Linked DNA regions of Saccharomyces cerevisiae S288C. The gene in region 1 interacts genetically with each later gene. Each region holds a gene or a part of one and is shown on either strand. Other genes may lie near its edges.

What was found.
Region 2: of CTA1 (region 1) and ECM19, a mutation in one rescues a mutant of the other (synthetic rescue), as found in Saccharomyces cerevisiae (one study listed by BioGRID).

The regions. Positions count from the first base shown.
Region 1 is NC_001136.10:967,747-971,680, reverse strand, and holds CTA1 (catalase A), read left to right. Parts: upstream 1-2,000; coding exon 2,001-3,548; downstream 3,549-3,934. Other genes in the region: RKM4 (ribosomal lysine N-methyltransferase), read left to right, coding at 207-1,691; ubiquitin-protein ligase RMD5, read left to right, coding at 3,859-3,934. UniProt on the Saccharomyces cerevisiae protein: Catalyzes the degradation of hydrogen peroxide (H(2)O(2)) generated by peroxisomal oxidases to water and oxygen, thereby protecting cells from the toxic effects of hydrogen peroxide.
Region 2 is NC_001144.5:901,066-904,238, forward strand, and holds ECM19 (Ecm19p), read left to right. Parts: upstream 1-2,000; coding exon 2,001-2,339; downstream 2,340-3,173. Other genes in the region: STE23 (metalloendopeptidase), read right to left, coding at 1-1,595; CCW14 (Ccw14p), read left to right, coding at 2,659-3,173. UniProt on the Saccharomyces cerevisiae protein: May be involved in cell wall organization and biogenesis.

The DNA.
Region 1 (3,934 bases):
CATGTACCAAGTGCCCTGGCAATACAATAAAGCTATTGGTCTGGAAGTATTGATATTATTCAAATGTAATCTTCGAGAGTTACTGCGGGTAATACACACATGTGTCACATATTTTTCTCTCGAGTATGAAAAAATTTCATTACCTTTGTAAAAGCTTAATACGATCATTTCAATATGACTAGTAATAAAGGGGAAAGTTTGCGAAAATGGATGATTTTTCAAGAGATACCGAAAACTTTGTTTGCTGGTTAAAAACTACCGCTGAAATTGAAGTATCCCCTAAGATAGAAATCAAAGATCTTTGTTGTGATAATCAAGGCCGCGCAGTAGTTGCCACTCAAAAGATTAAGAAGGATGAAACATTGTTTAAAATACCTCGTAGTTCTGTTTTAAGCGTTACAACATCTCAACTGATAAAGGATTATCCTTCTCTCAAGGATAAGTTCCTGAACGAAACCGGATCGTGGGAAGGTTTAATTATCTGTATACTTTATGAGATGGAAGTTTTGCAAGAAAGAAGCCGATGGGCGCCTTACTTTAAAGTTTGGAACAAACCAAGCGATATGAACGCGTTAATTTTTTGGGATGATAATGAACTGCAACTTTTAAAACCATCACTTGTCCTTGAAAGAATAGGAAAAAAGGAAGCCAAAGAGATGCATGAAAGAATTATTAAATCAATCAAACAAATTGGTGGAGAATTTTCACGTGTAGCGACGTCCTTCGAGTTTGATAATTTTGCCTATATTGCAAGCATTATATTGAGTTACTCCTTTGATTTGGAAATGCAAGATAGTAGTGTAAATGAAAATGAAGAAGAAGAAACCAGTGAAGAAGAACTTGAAAATGAGCGCTACTTGAAATCGATGATTCCACTTGCTGATATGTTGAATGCAGATACCAGTAAATGCAACGCTAATTTAACTTACGACTCTAACTGTTTAAAGATGGTTGCTTTGAGGGATATTGAAAAGAATGAACAAGTGTACAACATATACGGAGAACATCCAAATTCGGAACTACTAAGAAGATATGGGTATGTTGAATGGGACGGTTCGAAGTATGATTTTGGAGAAGTGTTACTTGAAAATATTGTCGAGGCGTTAAAAGAGACTTTTGAGACGAATACTGAATTTTTGGACAGGTGTATTGATATCTTACGCAATAACGCCAATATTCAAGAATTCTTAGAAGGTGAAGAAATAGTACTAGATTCATATGATTGTTATAATAATGGTGAATTGTTGCCTCAACTAATACTTTTGGTCCAAATCTTGACAATTCTTTGCCAAATTCCAGGTTTATGCAAACTGGACATAAAAGCAATGGAAAGGCAAGTGGAGAGAATTGTAAAGAAGTGTTTACAATTGATAGAAGGTGCCCGCGCCACTACAAACTGTAGTGCCACATGGAAACGTTGTATTATGAAGCGTCTAGCCGATTACCCCATAAAAAAGTGCGTTTCTATCGAAAAACCTTCGAAAGGAAACTCATTAACAAGGGAAGAACTAAGAGATGTTATGGCTCGGAGAGTTTTGAAAAGCGAAATAGATTCGCTGCAAGTTTGTGAAGAAACCATCGACAAGAATTACAAGGTTATTCCTGATGAAAAGCTGCTAACTAATATTTTAAAGAGAAAGTTGACAGAGGAAGAAAAAAGCTCTGTCAAACGTCCTTGCGTGAAGAAGTGAGCGGTTGTTCTAACCACTATTTAAAGCCGCAATTAGTAATGCAAAAAGTTGGCCGGAATTAGCCGCGCAAGTTGGTGGGGTCCCTTAATCCGAAAAAGGACGGCTTTAACAAATATAAACTCCGAAAATCCCCACAGTGACAGAATTGGAGAAACAACCAGTTTTGATATCGCCATACATATAAAGAGATGTAGAAAGCATTCTTCACTGTAATGTCCAAATCGTACATTTGAATTTCTTGTAGGTTTATTTAAAAGGTAAGTTAAATAAATATAATAGTACTTACAAATAAATTTGGAACCCTAGAAGATGTCGAAATTGGGACAAGAAAAAAATGAAGTAAATTACTCTGATGTAAGAGAGGATAGAGTTGTGACAAACTCCACTGGTAATCCAATCAATGAACCATTTGTCACCCAACGTATTGGGGAACATGGCCCTTTGCTTTTGCAAGATTATAACTTAATTGATTCTTTGGCTCATTTCAACAGGGAAAATATTCCTCAAAGGAATCCACATGCTCATGGTTCTGGTGCCTTCGGCTATTTTGAAGTAACCGATGACATTACTGATATCTGCGGGTCTGCTATGTTTAGTAAAATTGGGAAAAGAACGAAATGTCTAACAAGATTTTCGACTGTGGGTGGTGATAAAGGTAGTGCCGACACGGTTCGTGATCCAAGGGGGTTTGCCACCAAATTCTACACTGAAGAAGGTAATTTAGATTGGGTCTACAATAATACACCGGTATTCTTTATCAGAGACCCTTCCAAGTTCCCTCACTTTATCCACACACAGAAGAGAAACCCACAAACCAACCTAAGGGATGCTGACATGTTTTGGGATTTCCTCACCACTCCTGAAAATCAGGTGGCCATTCATCAAGTAATGATCCTTTTTTCAGACCGTGGTACCCCTGCCAACTACCGTAGTATGCATGGTTATTCTGGTCATACCTATAAATGGTCCAATAAAAACGGAGATTGGCATTATGTGCAAGTTCATATCAAAACCGATCAAGGAATAAAGAATTTGACCATAGAAGAGGCTACCAAAATTGCGGGATCCAATCCAGATTACTGCCAGCAGGATTTATTTGAGGCTATTCAGAATGGAAACTATCCTTCCTGGACAGTTTATATTCAAACAATGACCGAACGCGATGCCAAAAAATTACCATTTTCAGTCTTTGATTTGACTAAAGTATGGCCTCAGGGGCAATTCCCTTTACGGCGTGTGGGTAAGATTGTTTTGAACGAGAATCCACTGAACTTCTTCGCACAGGTGGAACAAGCTGCCTTCGCCCCCAGTACCACGGTTCCTTACCAAGAAGCAAGCGCTGATCCAGTATTACAGGCCCGTTTGTTTTCATATGCGGATGCTCATAGATACAGGCTAGGTCCTAACTTCCATCAAATACCCGTAAACTGTCCATATGCATCTAAATTTTTCAATCCCGCTATCAGAGATGGACCGATGAATGTTAACGGCAACTTCGGCTCAGAACCTACATATTTGGCCAACGATAAATCGTACACGTATATCCAACAGGACAGACCCATTCAACAACACCAAGAGGTATGGAATGGGCCAGCTATCCCTTATCATTGGGCAACATCCCCAGGTGATGTAGATTTCGTGCAAGCAAGAAATCTCTACCGCGTTTTGGGTAAACAACCTGGACAGCAAAAGAACTTGGCATATAACATCGGCATTCATGTAGAAGGCGCCTGTCCTCAAATACAGCAGCGCGTTTATGATATGTTTGCTCGTGTTGATAAGGGACTATCTGAGGCAATTAAAAAAGTAGCTGAGGCAAAACATGCTTCTGAGCTTTCGAGTAACTCCAAATTTTGAAACGCTCAAGTAACAAATGAGTGGCGTTGTTTCCACGACAATTATTTATGATAGTGTGTATTTTTAACACATTTTATTTATTACAATTTATGTATTTTGTTATGAATTATTTATTTATACGACTAATAGGTGATGCTCATATTCTCGTGTTAGAAAGTTAAAAAAATTATCATTTCACACATAGGAAAGCTCGTCGCGCCGGGGAAAAAGCTGAGGAATCTCTATTATTAGGGGTAAAGTTCAACACATTCAGTATGAGATAAGTGTGTCTTCAAGAGAGATGCAGCACTGAGTAGGGAACCAAGAAACGATGTCTGAATTACTAGATAGCTTTGAGACAGAGTTTGCGAAATTTTATACCGACAGCAATCTGGAAGAGACAAACC
Region 2 (3,173 bases), on another chromosome or scaffold:
GTCAGAGCAGGGTTCAAACCTGGCGATTTCATGTTTTTTATTAAATCTGCCGGATAATCTACCACTTTATACGCAGTACCATACCATTTTTCAGCAGAATCTGTTTCTAAACTCCTTGAGATCAGAGTAACACGAGAATTTTCCGGGACCAGAGCGTCCGTATATTGGGTAAGCAAATCAGGTTCATATTTCGTTAACAAACCCATGGCTAAAATTCTGCTAACAGGAATGTAATCCTTTTCCAAGCATTTTGCCAATGATGAAACTGTGGAAGATGGGCTACCAGCTTGCTTAAACTTGAAGGTAGCATTAGAGATATCTTGCAGTTCATTGAATATCCATTTTTGAGGTAGTGAGTTTTTCAACATTTCAATATACTGGAAGATCAAGACAATAACATCGCGATAGTGTGTCAACCCGTTGTCTGTTAAATCTATATCGACAGCAAAAAAAGCATTTCCTTTGGACACAGTATGCCCACCAGCAGATAGCTCATTGGCCCAGCCCAATTTTTTCAAATGTGCTAGTAATGAACCGGACCCTTCATGGCCGATTAAATGACTTAATATCCTCGGTGGCTTGGACTCCCAATGTTCCTCCATATCAGGGACAGTGAAAGAGATTTCTAGTTTTTTCAAATCTTTCACAGGACGGACTTGAATTATTTTTTGCAAATGCTCAGGCTGCATAATAGGTTCCGCATAAAGGGGTACTTCACGACCGTTATTGGCTACATCCTTGAAGAGATCATAAGTCCAATCAGAGAGAGTATCAAGGTCTTCTCTACCAAGAATACATAGCTTCATTAGGTTAGCGGAGTAAAAATTCTTATGGAATTTTAACAGTTCATCTCTAACATTTAGTCCATTTTCCTTTGGCAATGTGCCCAAAGTTTCGATGTTTCCTGTAGAAAATTTGTGATATGGATGTTTTGTATTGGTCAAAGACTTGTCTAATTGGTAAATTCTCCAAATATCATTCTGTAAGTTCTTTTTGTTTTCGCTGTTAACGGCGTTGATCTCTTTATCAGTAGAGTCCTTGTTGAAAAGAGGACAAGAGAAAAACCCTGAAAACCTGTCTAGCGCACCAAATAAATGTTGGTGATTAACCTCAAAAAAATAATTTGTGTTTTGCGATGCTGTGTAGGCATTGGATGAACCACCGTGCTTGCTTAAATAGCTCGAGTATTCGTTTTCGTCTGGAAATTTCTCAGAGCCCATGAATAAAAGATGCTCGCAGAAATGCGCCAATCCAGGTAGGTTCTTTGGATCTTCAAAGGCGCCAATATTGACGTCTAGCGACGCTGCTGCTTTATCTGCTTTTGGGTCCTGGATCAACAGAGCCTTCAGCTTATTAGGTAGCTCAATAAACCGATACGATCTTTCGTCTAAATCCGGCTTTAAAAAGTCCAGATTGAATGTCTTAAAATTGGATGTCATATTATAAGGATTTGTTGTGTAATAGCGTGATAAGCACGTGAATGGCTTGAAGCGTCTTACGGTGAAATTGAGACTGATAGGTGAGAGGTGAACCAATTGAGTGAGGAGTGGTTTAGTTACAAATGCAGAAGAAGAAGCTAAAAGAGATACGCCCATACAGAGCAATATCAAAATGAGCAAGAATGAGGTCTTCCGAATGGTTGGTTCTGACTTACTATTTGATTTCACTTTCTCTGATTCATTCAGGAAGAAAAGGGCGAAGTCCTCGAAATGAAAATTTCAACATCATTAACAGACCGGCGCGCGCCTTTACAATTTAGTATGTACGCCACCAATAAAAGCTGCTTAAACAATAAGCTAGAAAGCCCAAAGGGTGTTAAATAGTACAGCGAACCCTTCAGCAACGGTACATCAACAACCCCTTGAAAAGAATAGAGACAATACAGCTACAGTCATCCCCTTCTCTTGTATTTTTGGCCACAATTGATTGTATTACATCATATTTTGCCTGTGCGCTTCTTCTATCTTTTCCGCATAAACTAGGGGAAACGCGATGAAGAAATGGATTGGCTGAAAAATACAACAATTGTAGTGTTATTCAGTCATTCAACTGACAAAAGTAACAAACACAAGAAACGTCAAGTCCAGTGCAATATGCGAAAGAACACTTTAGATATGGTCACTATAGGTATCGCATGCCTTGTGGGAGTCTACACGGGCACGAGATTTTTCGAGCCCATTGTTATCGATAGATTGCGTAAGGATGGAAACTTGAGAACGGACATTCCCATCCCAGAATACGACGAGGACGGAAATCTGTTAAAGGTCACGCCGTCTTTATCATCCACACCAGCTGCACCACCTACACCACCTACACCTCCTACTCCACCACAACAGTAAGGAAGCGTACTAGAAAATACCTCTATACTTTCTTTTCCTGTATATAGCATCAATAGTAAAGCCATTATAACGTTACAAAAACCTATTACCCGGAAAATTACTATTTATAGAAGCATTGGACCCATGCACCACATGCATTAGGACCCATTATTTCTTTTTTACAATTTTTCCGTTAATTTTTCACGAATTTTTCACCGTTTATAAACACTCTCGAACTTATAAACAAAGGGATGATAAATAGATTTCGCCAGTTGTTAATACACACAGGGTCAAAGCTCACAGCACTACTACACTCGTTCAACACTCGTTATATATTATCATGCGTGCCACCACTTTATTATCTTCAGTCGTTTCTTTGGCATTGTTGTCGAAGGAAGTCTTAGCAACACCTCCAGCTTGTTTATTGGCCTGTGTTGCGCAAGTCGGCAAATCCTCTTCCACATGTGACTCTTTGAATCAAGTCACCTGTTACTGTGAACACGAAAACTCCGCCGTCAAGAAATGTCTAGACTCCATCTGCCCAAACAATGACGCTGATGCTGCTTATTCTGCTTTCAAGAGTTCTTGTTCCGAACAAAATGCTTCATTGGGCGATTCCAGCAGCAGTGCCTCCTCATCCGCTTCTTCATCCAGCAAGGCCTCTTCTTCTACCAAGGCTTCTTCCAGTAGCGCTTCCTCCTCTACCAAGGCTTCTTCCAGTAGCGCTTCCTCCTCTACTAAAGCTTCTTCCAGCAGCGCTGCCCCATCTTCTAGCAAGGCTTCTTCCACCGAATCCTCTTCTTCCTCTTCTTCTTCCACCAAGGCTCCTTCCAGTGAAGAATCCTCTTCCACTTA